2 linked regions of the Anolis sagrei genome follow. The main gene of each other region encodes a partner of the protein of the gene in region 2 in a complex. Links are inferred from orthologs where the notes say so. Each region holds a gene or a part of one and is shown on either strand. Other genes may lie near its edges. The genes, in order: NUP37 and NUP43.

Region 1 (9,720 bases), on a different chromosome or scaffold from region 2:
ACAAGTCGAATGCTTCTCAAGCGTCTAGGACTGTGTGATGTATTTTCGAATGATGCGCGCAAATCCAAGTAAGGTGGCCTTTTGCAGTTGACAGATCTTGATTTTGTCCATGTTTATTGTTTCCAAATGCCGGCTGAGATCTTTTGGCAGGGCACCCAGTGCGCCAATGACCACTGGGACCACCTGTACTGGTTTTTGCCAGAGCCTTTGAAGTTTCATTTTGAGGTCTTGATAGCGGCTGAGTTTTTCCTGTTTTTTTTTCCTCAATGCGACGGTATGGCGACATCAATAATCCAGACTTTTTTCTTTTCCACAATCGTGATGTCTGGTGTATTGTGTTCCAAAACTTTGTCAGTCTGGATTCAAAAGTCCCACAGTATTTTTGCATGTTCATTTTCCACAACCTTTGCAGATTTATGATCCCACCAATTCTTTACTGCTGGCAGGTGGTACTTGTGACATAGGTTCCAATGAATAATCTGGACCAAAGAGTTGCGTATTTGTTTGTAGTCCGTCTGTGCAATTTTCTTGCAACAGCTGAGGATATGATCCATGGTTTCATCAGCTTCCTTGCATAGTCTGCATTTTGGGTCATCCGCTGATTTTTCAATCCTGGCCTTAATTGCATTGGTTCTGATGGCTTGCTTCTGGGCTGCAAGAATCAGGCCTTCTGTCTCCTTATTCAGGGTTCCATTCATGAGAGCCATAACCAGGTCTTCTCCTTGTCAACTTTTCCTTCAATCTTCTCAAGGAACTGCCCATGCAAAGCTTTGTTGTGCCAGCTGTCAGCTCTGGTTTGGAGTGCAGTTTTCTTGTACTGGTTCTTGGTTTGCTGTGCTTTGAGAAGTTTCTGATTGACTTCAATTAAAGCAGGTTCTTGGCTTTCCTTTACATATTCTGCCAGGGAGTGTTTTTCTTCTTCGACTGCTTGTTTTACTTGTAAAAGTCCTCTGCCCCCAGACTTTCTAGGCAGATAGAGCCCGTTGACATCACTGTGAGGATGTAATGAATTATGAATGGTCATGAGTTTTCTAGTTTTTCTGTCCAAATTGTCCAGTTCTGCCTGTGTCCAGTTTATGATGCCAGCAGAGAACTCCAGGTCTCGGCGGTGGCCAGGGGAGCTTTCACACAGTTAAAACTTGTGTGCCAGCTGCACCCATATCTTGTGAAATCTGACTTGGCCATGGTGGTCCATGCTCTGGTTACATCCCGAATACATTACTGCAATGTACTCTATGTGGGGTTGCCTCTGAAGACTGCTCGGAAGCTTCAGCTAGTCCAACGCTCAGCAGCCAGGTTGCTCACGGGAGAGGGGAACAGGGAATGTACAATTCCCCTGTTACGCAAGCTCCGCTGGCTGCCTTTTAGTTTCCGGGCACAATTCAAAGTGCTGGTCTTAACCTATAAAGCCCCAAATGGTTCCTGCCCAGTTTACCTGTCCAAACGTATCTCCCTCCATGAACCACCAAGGACCTTAAGATCATCCAGAGAGGCCTTACTCTCGGTCCTAACGCCATTGCAGTTGCGTGGGTATGAGGCAGGGCCCTCGGCTGTGGTACTCCCTTCCTGATGAGATTAGATCTGCCCCATCCCTCCTGACCTTCCGGAAGAAACTCAAATCCTGGCTGTGGGATCAAGCATTTGCAGAATAGACTGATTTACTGGTGAAGATAAGCTTTAAATGGACTGCAGTGGACTGATTTGGATGTCGATTTGAACCAGCAACTGTTTTAATGTTTTTAATGTATGCTAATTGTATTTTATGTTATTTTATTATATTGTGTCGACATCAAATAGTTGCCTGTTGGAAGCTGTCCTGAGTCCATCTTCAGAGATTGAGAAGGACGGGTATAAATGTTCTGAACAAATAAATAATTCAGACATATTAACTTAATTTGGGCAGTTTACAAATGCAACAATGAATATGTGTTGTTGTTTTGTTGTTTATTCGTTCACTCGCTTCAGACTCTTCATGATCTCATGGAGCAGCCCACATCAGAGCTCAAGGTCAAGCCAGTTACTGTCTCTTAGTACACTAACCTTTTTATTGATTTCTGCAACTGATAGCTGCAAAGCCACCAGCATGGAGTCTATACCACATACAGTTGTCCTTTCAGAATCTGAATATAAGCGCCATTCCTTTCGAAAACACCGAATCATATCCAAGATTCTTTGCTGGACAAATGACATGATCCTAAAACAAATAAAACAAGATATAAAATGAACATAACTGAGAGAGAGGACCTGTGAACATTCAAATGGAAAAGATGGACTAGCGCAAGGGCCCCCAAACTAAGGCCCATGGGCCAAATGCGGTGCTCCAAGGTTATTTACCTGGCCCCCAGTCTAAACTTTACATTTAGGGTTGCCCTAGGTCTGAAACGACTTGAAGACAAACAACAACAATCTTAATTAACTTGACTCTTTCATCAGCCAAATGCAGCCCCACACTGCAGCACATTTTGCCATATTTTTCAATGAATATCTCATAATTTCAACCAATTCAACATAGTTTGTGACAGCTACAACAATGTAGTTTCTGGACTATAACTACTTTCAAAGTACTGCACAATTAAACAGGAATGGCACTTTCAACATAAGAACACAATTTATTTTAGAATTTTAGATTTTAGAAAGGTGGTTTCAAAAAAGGGCATCAGATACGATTTTTTTTGTCATGTCAGGAGCGACTTGAGAAACTGCAAGTCGTTTCTGGTGTGAGAGAATTGTCCATCTGCAAGGACGCTGCCCAGGGGACGCCCGGATGATTTGATGTTTTTATCATCCTTGTGGGAGGCTTCTCTCATGTCCTTGCATGGGGTGCTGGAGTCGATAGAAGGAGCTCATCCGCCTCTCCCCGGATTCGAACCTGTGACTTGTCAGTCTTCAGTCCTGCCGGCACAGGGGTTTAACCCACTGCGTCACTGGGGGCTCCTTGTCAGATATGATAAAGCATCTTTATCATCGGCCATGCCCTGGAACCTGTCCAGATATTCTAGTCTATAATGGGATACAAGTTGCAATTAAACACATCTAAAAGAGAACAACCCGGGGAAGGTTTATCTACATTGACTTAGTGAACAGGACTCACATCTACAGCTGGGCCTAGGCTCCTTGGAAGAAATTTGTTATGTGCCTTCAAGTCATTTCTTAAGATGAATCCCTGGAGTATTACAGCACACCAAAATACACGGAAGTCACTCTGGACCATGCTCTAACCTATAAGAAGAACTGTTTGAATATCAAGCAAAAAGTGTGTGCTAGAAATAATATTGTACAAAAACTGATTGGCACAACCTGGGAATCACAACCAGACACAGTGAAGAAATCTGCCCTTGTGAGTTACTACTCTGCTGCTGACTATGCATGCCCAGTGTGGAATACATCTCACCACATTAAAACAGTGGATGTGACTCTTAATAAGACATGCCGCCCCACACCACTGAAGAAATTACACTGTTTAGCTGGTATTGCACCATCTGACATCTGCTGGGAAGTAGCAGTTAGCAATGAAAGGACCAAGGCAGTGACATATTCGGCCCATCCTCTGTTCGGATATCAATAAGCATGCCAACACCTTAAATCAAGAAACATCTTCCTAAGATCTACAGAGATACTCACGGGAACACCTCAGCAAATGAGAGTCCAAAAGTGGCAGGCTAAAATCCAGCACTTAAATCAGTGGCTGAGACTGGATGATAAACTCCCTCCTGGGCACACAGAAGAGTGGAAAGCGCTGAATAGACTGCCCTCTGGCACCATGAGATGCAGAGCTAACCTTAAGAAATGGGGACCACAAAGTGGAGTCCACGACATGCAAGTGTGGAGAAGAGCAAACCACAGACCACCTACTACAATGTAACCTGAGCCCTGCCACATGCAAAACAGAGGGCCTTCCCACAGTGACACCTGAGGCACTCCAAGTGGCCAACTTCAGGTCAAAGGACATTTAGCATAATGCCAAGTTCTTTTAAACTTTGTGTTTTTTAAATGCATTCTAACTGTACCCTCAACTTGCTTCTGACATGATAAATAAATCGATAACTCATTTCTAACTTATGCTGGCTCTAAAATTGGGAGTTGCTCTGGGCAGAGTGAAGAGAGAGAGGGTTACAATTGAAGACAGTTCCATCTTGTCTCCTGTGCTATACTAATAATATAATATATTGTATATACATATAATATTTATAATATTATAATGTAATACAATATAATACTACTACTAATAATATAATATTATAATTATATATTTTATATTACTTTAAAATTACTAATAATATTACAATGTAATGGTGTAGTACAATATAGTAATATATAATACTGATATTGTTGTTGTTCATTCCTTCAGTCGTTTCTGACTCTTCGTGACCTCATGGACCAGCCCACGCCAGAGTTCCCTGTCGGCCGTCAGCACCCCCAGCTCCTTCAAAGTCAATCCAGTCCCTTCAAGGATGCCATCCATCCATCTTGCCCTTGGTCGGCCTCTCTTCCTTTTTCCTTTCATTTCCCCCAGCATCACTGTCTTCTCTAAGTTTTCCATTCTTCTCATGATGCAGTACTTCATTTTTGCCTCTACTATCTTTCCCTCCAATGGACCAGTACAACTGATATTATACTATGCTAATAATTTAATATATTGTATGCATATATATCTTGCAAGCCACTCTGAGTCTCCTTCGGGGCGAGAAGGGTGGCATTTAAATGTCGTAAATAAATAAATAAAGCAAACCTATCATAGGATTTTCTTGGCAAGATTTCTTTAGAGTGGGGTTTGCCTTTGTTTTGCTCTAAGACAGAGAGGATGAGATTCGGACAAAGCCATTCAGAGGGTTTCCTTGGCCAAGTAAGGATTTGAACCCAAGTCTCCACTGTCACAGTCTAGTGCTCAAACCACTACACTTCTGTTGTCCCTTTTCGCAATATTTATATCAGGACTGGGCAAACTTGGTCCCTCCAGGTGTTTTGGACTTCAACTCTCACAATTCCTAACAGCCGATAGGCTGTTAGGAATTGTGAGAGTTGAAGTCCAAAACACCTGGAGGGACCAAGTTTGCCCAGGCCTAGTCTTCACTGTAGAATTAATGCAGTTTGAGATCACCTTAACTGCGATAATTAAATGCTATGGAATCTTTGGAGGTGTAGTTTGGTGAGGGACAACACTCTTTGCCAGAGATGGAGAAAGGCCTTGTAGACCTTGTAAAACTACAACTCCCTGGGTCCCATAGCCTTGAGCCAGGGCAGTTCAGGTGGAGTCGAGTCCCACTGGAGCCCCACGCCCCTCACCTGGGCACTGCGGCCTTCCTCGAGGCGCTCCCTCCAAGGAGGCTCCTTCCACAGAGCCAAAGAAGCAGCTGTCAGCGGCGGAGGTTTGAATTCGAACGCTGCGCGTCTCAACCAATCGGAAAGCGGGACCCGCGGCGACCCGGAAGAGACTCTCACCCGGAAGCGCAGCTGCCTCACGAATTCTTCGCGGGAGAGTAACAGAACGAATGAGGTGAGCGAGCGAAGGGATTGTTTGCGTGGGAATCCACCGGCCGCTCAACACCCCAGGCCGCTCTAAGTAAGGGAACGTTCATTGATATCTATATCTAAGAAAGTAGTGCTAATGGGTTCTATCCAATGCAATTTTCTGAACTGGCCCCCCAAATAAACCCAGAGACATCCCTAAAAAGCAAGACACCAAAAACGTTTTGTGGGGCTTTGTTATTATTACTATTATTATTTGGAACAATGAGAGTTATCTACAGGCCCGTAGCCAGGATTTCGGGTTTTTTTTGGGGGGGGGGGGTTAAATTTTTTTCGGGGGGGGGGTTTCGGGGGGGGGCTGAGTTTTGGTGGGGGGCTGAGTCTGAGTGAAAGAGGGTCTAGCCTAGCAAACCTTTTGTATCATTATCCCAATACCCCCATGCATATGGGATATATTGAGCATGGTGATCAGATCATGATATGAATACACATAACAGTTTAAATAATGCACCAGTAAGGCCTTCTTGCGTACCACTCTGAATCCCCTCCTAACTGAAGCATATGTCAAATCTGGTAATTCCCATGGCATACTTCCTTGGCAACTGAAGCAATAAACTTTTGATTCTGCCCTCCTTTCTGCATGTCTTGATTGCGAAACATTGGGGTTGGCATGCCAGAAACAAACAAACCTCAGGAGGATATATTGAGCATGGTGATCAGATCATGATATGAATAAACATAACAGTTTAAATAATGCACCAGAAAGGCCTTTTCGCGGACCACCATGAGAATTTCGGGGGGGGGGGGCTGAAGCCCCTCAAGCCCCCCCTCCTCCCCGGCTACATGCCTCGTTATCTAACTATGTGTATGTTTACTATTTAGCTCCTTGTCCAGCTGAGGAGTCTTCCATCTGGTTACTCAGAATACCTCCGCTGAAGATGAAACAGGAAGCTTCCCGAAGTGCATCCTATACTGTGGAATGTGAAGATTATGTGCATGTGGTGGAATTCAGCCCATTTGAGAGCGGAACTGCAGATTCTCTGATAGCATATGGTGGCAATCATTATGTGGTTGTTGGAACTTGCAGGTTTCAGGTTAGTGTGCATTATAGTTAACAGTGACCAGGTACCATGTTAGCCATTCAGCTAGTTTCCAGTGTTTGATAATAGAAACATGTTGGGAAGATTGTTGATATAGTTCCACTTCACTGTCTAATAGTGCCTCTAAATCAGGGGTCCTCAAACTTTTTAAACAGAGGGCTAGGTCACAGTCCCTCTAACTGCTGCAGGGCCGGATTATAATTTGAAAAAAGCATTAATTCCTATGCACACTGCACATATCTTATTTGTAGTGCAAAAACACTTAAAACAATGCAATAATTAAAATGAAGACAATTTTAACAAATATAAACTTATTAGTATTTCAATGGGAAGTGTGGACTTGCTTTTGGCTGATGAGATAGGATAGTTGTTGTTGTTGTTGTTGTGTGCTTTCAAGTTGTTTCAGACTTAGGCTGACCCTGAGCGAGGGCCGGGTATATGAACTTCGAGGGCCGTATTCGACCCTCGGGCCTTAGTTTGAGGATCCCTGCACTAAATGATCTGATAGCTGTCTTGGAAGTGATATTAAGAACTCCCATTCTTTGATATCCAGGCTGAGAGTGATATGTGAAACAGCACAGGACATCATAGTTGCCAAATTGTACGTATTACAGTTAAGTTCCTATTGTAGGAACTACTTTGTGACCATGATGGTAATTTTTAAAATGATCGAATTTACATGATGTTGACCACTGAAGGTCTTGTGAAACAAATTAATCTTACTTGATTGATACCCTAAAAGTTATCGGTAAAAAAAAAATCCATAAACCTGTTGTCTTCAGATTGTATTACATTTGGGAAATAAAATTGTTCATTTTTATGGTTATGTGACTTCCACAATTTTGACAGAACTGGAGGTGGACTTTTGTAGATATGGAACCTCTTGTTAACAGTACCTTTCTGCTTGTACAAGCAATGACTTCCTTTTTAGACCCTTCACCTCCAGATTCTGTTTAAAAGTCCCTAAAGAGGGAGCCTCCACCAGAGGCAGAGAGTTCCACTGCTGAACAGCTCTTACTGTCAGGAAGTTCTTCCTAATGTTAAGGTGGAATCTCCTTTCCTGTAATTTCAACCCATTGCTCCAAGTCCTGGTTTCCAGCACAGCAGAAAACAAGCCTGTTTCCTCTTCCTTATGACATCCTTTCAAATATTTATACATGGTAATAACGTCTCCTCTCAACCTTCTCTTCTGCAAGCTAAACATACCCAGCTCTTTAAGGTGCTCCTCATAGGGATTCATGGTCTCCAGACCTTTGATCATTTTAGTTGCCCTCCTCTGGATCCCGTCCAGCTTGTCAATATCTTCTCTTGAATTGTGGTGTCCAGAATTGGACACAGTAGTCCAGTTGTGGTCTAACCACAGCGGACTAGAGGTGCACCATGACTTCCCTTGATCTAGACTTCTTTTGATGCAGCCCAAACTCCCATTGAATTTTTAAGCTGCTGCATTACATCGTTGGCTCATGTTCAACTTGTGGTCTACTAATGTTAAGGTAATTTTGAATTCTGATGTCTCTCCCAGTTTGATGTCATCTGCAAACTATATAAGCATGCCTTCAAAATCTTCATTCAAGTCATTAATAAAGATGTTGAACAGCACTGGGCCTAGGGCAGAGCCGTGCACCACCCTATTAATCACCTCTGCCCAGGATGAAAAGATTGCTGATCGTTGTTTATTTTTTCCATAGGGTAGGAGCACTTAAAATCTGTTGTTGCAGGACATTTTATCCAGTTTTTTAGTCATTAATATTATAGTTTCCCTGGTTTCAGTCTTCTCCCAAATACCTTTCAGCATCTACATAACCCACTGATAGTTCTGTATATAGGTTTGTGTTGAGGTATTAAACTAATAAGCATCTTTACCCCTTCTGTACTTTTTTCACCATGTAATCTCAGGGAGGCAACTGCAACCTTGGATTTCTGAAGGAAGAACTAGAATTAATAGGAAATACCAATATGAAATCTAATGTTAAGACAGAAGTAGTTGTGCTAATCTGGGTCTAGATTTAAAATCTGATTCTAAATAGACATACATTGACCTTGTATGCAGTCTAGAAGTGCTCTAGGATTCATTTTTGTCCATGGAGGCACATGTGTCGCCATGAGTGCTTTGGACCAGTTTAGACTAGCTCACATGATCACAGCAGCACATGCCTTAGTTATGATTCAAGTTAACTTACTTTACTGTGCTCTGTTGCCATAGTGCTGCCCTTGAAAACAGTTTAGAAACTAACTGGTATGGATTGCAACAGTAAGGATTGTATGAAAACTAGGCACTTGAACTATATTACTTCCACCTGTTACTTTGGCTTTTAGTTTTCCTTATCCTGCTCATTTGCCAAAGGACAGCTTGGTCCTTGAACTCAATAGTTACCAAAATAGCCAAGGGCAAACTTTAACTGCTCAAACAGAAATTCAATAGCATTTTAAATAAAATGATATAATTCAGAGTGAACCCTGACTACACCCTTTATGAATTGTTTATATTCTTTGCCTTTTAGTTTTTAGACACAATTCAAGGCAGCAATTTTAGCTTTTACATTTGTAAGTCATCATTGGGCAGCCTACACATTGCATGTGAGTCTATCCCCCTCCCTTTTTTTTTTACACAAACAAGCTCTCTAAGATCAAGAAATACAAAAATATACTCAAATATTTTCCTGTCACGATTCAACAGTGCATTCAAGTGGTACTGTATTTTGCCACTGAACCCATCTAGAGCAGACTAGACTAGGAAGTGACATCATTTGAGGAGGCAATGACAGCTGAACTCTGCACTGCAGCCAGCTCTTTGCTGCATAGATCTAAATGTATTGTTGAAGGCTTTTATGGCCAGAATCACTGAAGTGTTGTGTGGTTTCTGGGCTGTATAGCTGTGTTCTAGCAGCATTTTCTTCTGGTGTTTTGCCTGCATCTGTGGCTGGCATCTTCAGAGGATAAACCTAAAATGAAGCCTTCAGTTTTTAATCTGCTTTATAGTAAGGTTTTATATGTGTAAATTCAGGCTGTATTAATACATATATAATTGATACTATATTAGTCTTGATTGTGTGTGTTTGTAACTATATGTGTGTTATTGTATTCTGTCATTTTTGCAAGCCAGCTTGAGTCCCAGTCTGGGAGACTCAAGGAGGGACATAAATAATGTGTGAAG
Region 2 (9,232 bases):
TACAGTGTGACATTTGGCTCTGACAGTGCCCATAAGCTCAGAATGAAGTGCTTACAATGAAAATATTTGTGAAGGCTCATTTCCTTGCTGTCTGAAATCCCATATTTTTAGCTGACCAATGGAATTCACTGTCAAGATTTCTGTTGTGCGAAGTCGAGTCACTGCATGAAGTGTGCTGCTGTCAGCATTGTCTGAGAAATTAAAAGAGACACTCATATCAGTCCTTTTGATTTAAAGCATGCTAGAATTAGTGCAGTAAACAAATAAGCAACTGTAAGGTTATGCCAACTATGTGCCATATACATTTTGAAAATTCAGAGTCCAAAGCTTAAGAGACTCTTAAGGGGAATGCTGATGTTGATTTACCTATTAGATAATACTGTTTACAACTTTGGGAACTGATAGCATTCTCTAAGGAACTCTAACTGGATACGGTTTACAGATATCTAGCAAAGAACTTTCTGTACTTCAGCAAAGAGATAGGGCAGGAGACCTGATCCACCATGTTCAAAAAAGTGTTTTTCATATTACTGGTGTCATATAAATTCACTTTAAAATATTGATACTTCAGGCATGCTACAATAACTTCCCAGGTAAAGACAAATGATTTTATTTTTCCTGCATTTAAGGGGTTCTGCACTGAAGGCTACAACACTATGTTGGAATAATAGTTTAGAACTTTAGTACAGGCATCTTAACTGCCTACCTACAGTACGCACAGCTTCCTTCCGGTCCACTGTGAATACATTTATCCTCCCATCTTCACCAACTGTAAAAATTTCAGGGCTGTTGCAGACAATCCCGGTGCAGGGTGCATTTCCATGAGATGGGTCATAGAAATGTGCATTTTCCCATTTTTGGCTTACAGATAGAGTCTGAAAAACCAAAGAAAAACAATGAAAATGGGCATGTGGAAAAAATGTAATGACCAAGACTTAGAAGAGAGAGACACTGAGAGAGAAAGAGAGTCACGAACACCAGTATTTCCTCCTTGCCTGAATTTGAAGAGGAGACTGTGGGACCCCATGGGAGCTGCCAAAATGGCCTGGGGTGCCTTGTAGCTGGAATCTCAGACAAAGGCAGTAAAAGATGACCTGTGTACAAATGATACTTGTATTCCTAATTATAAAGACAGCCCCACAAACTATCAGGATAATCACTTAAAGGAGCAACCTGAACAAGCAGCCCCAAAGTAGTACCTCAGACTTATCTTGATTGAATTCAATATAGGTTGAGTATCCCTTACTCAAAATGTTTTAGATCTGTTGTTGTTTGCAAATATGTAATGAGATCTTGATGGAACCCCAACCTAAATATGAATTTTACTTATGTGATACATACATCTTATACACACAGCCTGAAGGTAATTCTATATACAAATGTTTTAAATGATGCGCATGAAACAAAGTGCATGTACACTGAACCATCAGAAAGCAAATGTGTCACTATCTCAGCTATGGATAAAGATTATTTTAGATCCTGGATTTCAGAATTTCAGATAAGGGGTGTTCAACCTGTGCTGGCCCTAATTCAGCCCTGCAGCCAGCCACTGATGAAACACATCCACTGATGAAAAAGGAAATGGAGCTGGACATCATCCTTAAATCACTTTAAATCTCTAGATGACCTCACACAACAGTTTCACACAAATGTTGCCTAATCTCAGAAGCTTAGCATAGTTAGGAATGATTAGCACTTGAATAGAGAGGCCAACAGGTATTTCCAGATAGGGCTGGGAGAAATACGCACCTGCAGGGTTGCTGCCAGTTAGTGTTCACAATACTGGGCTAGATCAACTAATTTATATGACAGTGTTATCTGCTCCCTGTGTAATGCAGTGTAATAAAGAAAATGTAGCCCAGAGGAACCTCAAAGCACAAATGCTATGCAAGTGACAAGAAATCCCTCAATATGACCTTTAAAAAATAGCAATCTAAATACAAGCAAAGCCATTGAAAATCTGTATCTCCTACACACAACTTCTCAAAAAAAGATAACAGCACCAATGGCAATTAAAGCTGCTGAGTGATCCAGAAAAATGAATGGAGTCACATTGTTATTGTCTCTCCTGTGGTGGTGGAGAGATAGAAGCAGTTTTATTCACTAGACTAAGCAACTGAAATAGATCTGGAAAAGCCATTTAATATAAGAATATCTTGCTGTGACCTACTTGATCACCTTGCCCACAAACCAACTTTTTTCTGCCTTGTGTTTTCTTGAGAGCAAGGTAATTTTTTGTACAACAGAATAGATGTAAGCAAACCTGATTAATTTACCTGATTATTTTGATGGTGCCGAAAAACAGTCACACTTCCAGTGGATGAAGCAGCTACAATTCTTTCCTGGTCCAAAAACTAAGGACAAAATATTCAGATATGAATTTGTATTGAAATAAAGTATCAAACAGAACCAGTGTCCCATTTATACTGTGTAACTTTAGTGACATCAATAACACAGTGCTTGGAAAGCTTTAAAGTCATTTTATAGCCTTTTACCTGCATATCCATAACATCGCCACTATGTTGAATATCACACAAAAGATGCGGTTCTGCGTTATATTCTCCATTTGTGTTCAAACTTCCCAAGTCTCCAACAGACCAAAAAGACACCTTATTTTCCTATAAGATTACCAAGAGAGAGAGAGAGAATAACAAAAAAGAAAAACAACCAGGATAAGGAAAAGTTACTGCATATGAATCATAGAGTTAGAAGACATCTTGTGGGACATCCAGTCCAACCCCCTGCCAAGAAGCAGGAAATCACATTCAAAGCACCCTCTCCCCCCACCCAGCCTCTGTTTAAAAGCCCCCAAAGAAGGAGCCACAACCACACTCTGGGCCAGAGAGTTCCACTGCTGAACAGCTCTTACAGTTAGGAAATTCTTTCTAATGTTCAGGTGAAATCTCCTTTCCTGTAGTTTGAAGCCATTGTTCCGCGTCCTAGTCTCCAGGGCAGCAGAAAACAAGCTTGCTCCCTCCTCCCTATGACTTGCCCTCATATATTTATACATGGTCATCATGTCTCATCTCATCCTTCTCTTCTGGATGCAAAACATGCCCAGCTTTTTAAGCCGCTTCTCAAAGGGTTTGTTCTCCAGACCCTTAATCATTTTAGTCACCCTCCTCTGGACACACTATTCCAGATGGAATACCAAGGCAGAATAGAGGGGTAGCATGACTTCCCTGGATCTAGACCAGGGGTCCTCAAACTAAGGCCCAGGGGCCGGATACAGCCCTCCAAGGTGATTTACCTGGCCCTCGCTCAGGGTCTGAAACTACTTGAAAGCAAACAACAACAACAACAACAACAACAACCCTATCACATCAGCCAAAAGCAGGCTCACAACTTCCCATTGAAATACTAATGAGTTTATATTTGTTAAAATTGTTCTTCATTTTAATTATTGTATTGTATTGTTTTAAAGTGTTTTTTGCACTACAAAGTGTGCATAGGAATTTATTCATGTTTTTCCCCCCAAATTATAATCCGACCCTCCAACAGTTTGAGGGACTGTCACCTGGCCCTCTGTTTAAAAAGTTTGAGGACGCCTGATCTAGACACTATACTAGAATGGCCTAAACCAGGCATGGGCAAACTTGGGCTCTCCAGGTGTTTTGGACTTCGACTCCCACAATTCCTCGCAGCCTGAGGCTGCGAGGAATTGTGGGAGTCGAAGTCCAAAACACCTGGAGGGCCCAAGTTTGCTTATGCCTCTTCTATATTACAGAATTAATGCATTGGCCCACTTTAATTGCCATGTCTCGGTGCTATGGATTCATGGGAGTTGTAGTTCGGTGAAGGCCCGACCTCTCCCATGGCCTTGCCAAGCTCCACCTCCCAGGCCTCACCTCGTTGTCCCAGGATCCCGTGGCGAAGACCTCCGGGGGCTGGAGGGCAGCGGGAGGGAGGGGCCGCCAGCGGGTCTTGCTGACTTTCTGGGAGACATATCGGGCCAAGACCTCCTCCATGCTTCGCCGCCAGAGACAAGCTCCTTCCTTCCTTCCCGCCGCAGCCGAGGCCCTCCCCCCGGCTTGCATGCGCCCCTTTCCTATTGGACGGCGAGCACCACGTGAGACGGCAACCCACAAAGGTCAATACTCTCTACTGGGAAGGCTGCTGGAACGGACTTTGTTGGCTGTGTTGTCGCAGGCTTTCATGGTCGGAATCAATGGGTTGCTGTGAGTTTTCCGGGCTGTGTGGATATGTTCCAGAAGCATTCTCTCCTGACTTTAATGTCCAGGGTGGGAGAAAGAACTCTTGCCTGCTTGAGGCAAGTGTGAATGTTGCAATTGGCCACTTTGATTAGCATTTAATGGCCTTGCAGCTTCAAAGCCGGTCTGGTTGCTGCCTGGGGATCCTTTGTTGGGAGGTGTTAGTTGGCTCTGATTGATTCTTGTCTGGAATTCCCCTGTTTTTTGAATGTTGCTTTTTATTCACTGTCCTGATTTTTTAAAATAGTGGTAGCCAGATTTTGTTCATTTTCATGGTTTCCTCCATTCTGTTGAAATTGTCCACATGCTTGTGGATTTCAGTAGCTTCTCAGTGTAATCTAACATGGTAGATGTTAGTAGTCCAGCATTTCTGTGTTCTCAAATAATATGCTGTGTCCATGCTGGTTTCTTCAGGAGAGAATGCTTCTGGAACATGGCCATACAGCTTGGAAAACTCACAGCAACCCAGACTCTGTTGGTGTTTTCACCAATTAAGTCTATTCGGAAAGACCAAAACGACAAGGGCTGCAACTACACTGCAGATTTCATGCAGTTTACCTGTCATGAATGACTCAATGCTATGGCATACTGACTGTGAAATGTAGAAGGGAAATAAATTAGAGAGGAGAGGGGTGCAGGAGCCACAAAGGAGGTAATAGAGAAGATGAGCAAGTCAAGAAATAAAGTCTGTTTTTGGACGAGGCCCCATCTATACTGCCATATAACCCAGTTTGAACTGCATTATAATGGTCAGTGTGCACTCCTATAATGCAGATTGAACCACATCGAACTGGAGTCTACGCTGCCATATAATCCAGTTCAATGAAGTTAATCTGCATTCTGAAACTAGATTATATGGCAGTGTGGATAGGGCCATGGACTAACAAGTGGGATGAATGGGAGCTTCTTGGGACTGGCAAAGGCCTTTATGGCATAGTCATATCTGTCCCAATTTGGCAGGAAGGGTCTCGTTTAATTCTATGCTGTCCCATTTTTCTAGCATATTTTTAAGAAGTTTCTCTTTTTTCCCCAGACAGCCACTTAATCCAGAGTTAGGAAGTGGGATTAAAATCTGGTTACCTTAAAGAGAGTCCACACATGAAGTCATTAGTCCTTGGAAATGGTCTCGTGGTGCCCAGAAAGGTTTGGCTAACGTGGAAGCAAGGGAACCGCCAAAGCTACAGGAGAGCTGCCAAAAGTTCTTTCACCTTTTTTTGTTAATGACTCTCTGAGATATGCTGCTCCTCATAAGCATTTTGCCAATAGTTATGAGTGCTAATGCGCTGATGTGGATATAACAAGGTGTACACAAGCAGATTTCTTGTCATCGGGAGAGTTCTTTCCTGAACATGGCCATACAGCCTGGAAAACCCACCGCAACCCAATGATTCCTGCCATGAAAGCCTTCGACAACACATTGTCATTGTCCCTCCTCACCCTCCTGGTGCCTTTAAGTTTGCTCTCTTGAACACTGTTTCCCTTTGGGGTCACTAAGATTACTGTATGACGCGAATTGTATGTGCACCCTAATTTTGGCACGGTAATTTAGCCCAAAAAGGTGAGTGTTAAGACTCAAGTAAATATGGTACAGTATATGCAAAGTTAGGTTTCCATTTGAGAAGAGGTTGTTCTCTACAGATACATAGATACATACATATGTTGCACTTGTTTCCTAAACATAAATCACATTTCCCGAGTTCCCCAAGTGATACTTGGAGCAGCCTTTTATGCAGTACCACAAATTTGTTGTTGTTTATTCGTTCAATCATTTGACTCTCCATGACCTCATGGACCAGGCCTCACCAGAGTTTCCTGTCGGCCGTCACTACCTCCAGCTCCTTCAGAGTCAAGCCAGTCACTTCAAGGATACCATCAATCCATCTTGCCTTTGATCGACCCCTCTTCCTTTTTCTTTCATTTTTCTCCAGGATCATTATCTTTCCTGTCTTCTCATTATGTGGCCAAAGTAGCATACTTCATCTTTGCCTCTAATATCCTTCCCTCCAGAGAGCAGTATGGACTGTTTTGATCATCTTGAGGTCCAAGGCACTCTCAGAATTTTTCCTCCAGCACCAGTACCACAAATACACTACCTATGTTGTGCCATGTCAATGCGGTGTTTGGGAATTGGTTTTTGGGAATTGGAGCCCAAAACACCTGGAGGGCCAAAGTTTGCCCATGGTTGGTATACAGGATAATGTTTAAAATGAGATCTGCAAGTTGGCAACCATTTGAACCCCTTGCATAAAATTATAATTTAATTCAAAATTTAGGTTATGGTTATATATATTTTTCTCTACAGGCCAAATGCATATGTGGGCTCTACATCTGGGACATACAGGGTTTAAGCTTCAAATAACCACTTTAGCTACTATAGTAGAGTCTCACTTATCCAACCTTCACGCATCCAACGCTCTGTATTATCTAATGCAGTCTGCCTAATGCCTGGATCCACAGCTGTTTCAATACATTGCGATGTTTTGGTGCTAAATTCGTAAATACAGTAATTAAAACATAACGTTAGCGTGTATTGAACTGCTTTTTCTGTCGATTTGTTGTAAAACATGGTGTTTTGGTACTTAACTTGGAAAATCATAACATAATTTGACATTTAATAAGCTTTTCCTTAATCCTTCTTTATTATCCAACATTTTTGCTTATCCAACATTCCACTGACCTGTTTATATTACATGTAATATTACAGTATAGTGGTATAGTACAATATAGTAATATATAATGCTAATTTTGTGCTATGCTAATAATATATTGTATACACATATAATATTAATATTATAATGTAATGCAATATAACACTACTACTAATAACAATACAATATAATAATGATATATATTGCATCAAATATTACAGTATGGTGGTATAGTACAATATAGTAATATATAATGCTAATTTTGTGCTATGCTAATAATATAATATATTGTATGTACAAATAACTTGTAAGCCACTCTGAGTCCCCTTCGGGGCAGGGTATACATGTAGTAAATAAATAAATAAAAAGCAAGACTCTATTGTAATACTGTTTCAGAATGCAGATCAACTGCATTGAACTGGATTACATGGCAGCGTAGACTCATATAATCCAGTTCGGTGCAAATAATCTGCATTCTGAAACTACATTATATGGCATAACAACAACAACAACTTTATTTTTATACCCCGCCAACCATCTCCCTGTGGGGACTTAGGGTGGCTTACAAGGGACAAGCCCAACAATTACAAATAAAACACAATCAATTAAAAACATAAGATAACATATGAAAACAATCACAATTGAAAACAACAAGGGTTTTCATTTCATTTATTATCAAGTGCAACAATCAAGTAGACAGGGCTGGGAATAGTGGCATCAAAAGTGTTGAGGTAGGCTGCTAAAAGGGCAGGTGTAAAGTGCTGAACTTAACGTAGGGACAGGGAAAATTACTGGTGGACTGCCTAATCAAAAGCACACCGGAACACCCAGGTTTTTAGTTGTGTCTGGAAAGAGGACAAAGTAGGAGCCTGTCTGATCTCCCTAGGGAGGGAGTTCCAGGGTCTGGGAGTCACCATCGAGAAGGCCCTCTCCCTCGTCCCCACCAACTGTGTTTGAGACAGCAGAGGGAGAGAGAGTAGTGCCTCCCTGGATGATGTCAAGGTGCGCGCTGGTTCATAGAGGAAGATGCAATCGTGGAGATAAGCAGGTCCCGAACCGTTTAGGGCCGTGTTTCTCAACCTGGCGTCCCCAGATGTTTTTGGCCTACAATTCCCAGAAATCCTAACAGCTGGTGAACTGGCTGGGATTTCTGGGAGTTGTAGGCCAAAAACATCTGGGGACCCAAGGTTGAGAAGCACTGGTTTAGGGCTTTATAGGTAATAACCTGCACCTTGAATTGGGACCGGAAACTTATTGGAAGCCAGTGGAGCTGTTTAAACAGGGGGGTGGATTGCTCCCTGTAACCAGCTCCTATAAGTAGTATGGCCGCAGATCTTTGGACCAACTGTAGCTTCCGGGCCGTCTTCAAGGGCAACCCCACGTAGAGCGTGTTGCAGTAATCCAATCTAGAGGTGCCTGGGACATGGACCACCATGGCCAAATCAGATTTAACTTCGTTTGTATACCGCCCTATCTCCCCAAAGGGACTCAAGGCGGGTTCCAACATATAAGGCAAAACATTCCATTGCCAAGAAGTTAATCATTCAGACAGATTAAAATAAAAGCAGCATCAAACACACAAATCCTACTAAAACACAACAATAAGACTCTACTAAGGGCACACATTATTTGGGGGGGGGGGCACCTATATTTAGTTAGGGATCAAGAGCCCCCTTCAAAGACTCTCCCTCCTTCACTTCAGCTCCTTCATCTCCCTCATGTGGTCTGCGAAGGCGCCCCCCGCGCTGTGTTTCCCCGCCAGCTCCTTTGGCGCTCCCCTCTGCGCCTGCGCACACCGGCGGCAGCGGCGGGGGCGGCGGGTGCCCGTCGCGAGGGCCGTTGAGAATGTGGCGCGCGCGGGGGGGCGAGGGAACGGCCCTTCCCTCCGGCGGGCGCGCGGCGGTAGCAGCAGCAGCAACAGCGGCGGCGAGGAGGGGAGGGAGGGCGGCGGCGGAGGAGGAGGAGGCGGCGCCTGTCTCGGCGCTGGAGGTTGTGTCCTTCCTGGGCAAGCTCCTGTGCGCAGTCGCGGCGCTGAAGGCGGCTCTCTACCTGCTCCGCAGAATCTGCCTCGCCATGGCCTGGAAGTCAGGAGGCGCCAGCCACTCCGAGCTCATCCACAACCTCCGCAGTGAGTGAGCGAGCGAGCGAGCGAGCGAGTGCGCGCGCGCCCGGCCCGCCCGCCTGTCTATAGGGATCTCTGTGTGGGTGTCCGCGTGCGCGCTGGCCTCCTGAAGGGGGCGGGGGAGGGAGGGAGAGAAAGAAGGGAGTGGGAGATTGAGAGGAGGGCTGGGGGAAGGAGGGAGTGGCTAGGGCGCGCGCCGGCCATTCATAGGCCATTAGCGCGCGAGCACACACACACACACACACATATAT

What was found.
Region 1: NUP43 (region 2) and NUP37 share a complex: the UniProt entries of both Homo sapiens proteins name them as parts of the nup107-160 subcomplex of the nuclear pore complex. The link is inferred for Anolis sagrei from reciprocal best matches to the Homo sapiens genes NUP43 and NUP37.

Annotation. Positions count from the first base shown.
Region 1 is NC_090025.1:171,478,097-171,487,816, forward strand, and holds the start of NUP37 (nucleoporin Nup37), read left to right. Parts: upstream 1-5,422; 5' UTR 5,423-5,494; exon of another isoform or gene 5,495-5,560; intron 5,561-6,348; 5' UTR 6,349-6,404; coding exon 6,405-6,560; intron 6,561-9,720. Other genes in the region: PARPBP (PCNA-interacting partner), read right to left, coding at 2,041-2,190. UniProt on the Homo sapiens protein: Component of the Nup107-160 subcomplex of the nuclear pore complex (NPC). The Nup107-160 subcomplex is required for the assembly of a functional NPC.
Region 2 is NC_090021.1:73,296,611-73,305,842, reverse strand, and holds the start of NUP43 (nucleoporin Nup43), read right to left. Parts: upstream 3,997-9,232; 5' UTR 3,969-3,996; coding exon 3,849-3,968; intron 2,619-3,848; coding exon 2,496-2,618; intron 2,355-2,495; coding exon 2,277-2,354; intron 876-2,276; coding exon 707-875; intron 192-706; coding exon 56-191; intron 1-55. Other genes in the region: PCMT1 (protein-L-isoaspartate(D-aspartate) O-methyltransferase), read left to right, coding at 8,705-8,987. UniProt on the Homo sapiens protein: Component of the Nup107-160 subcomplex of the nuclear pore complex (NPC). The Nup107-160 subcomplex is required for the assembly of a functional NPC.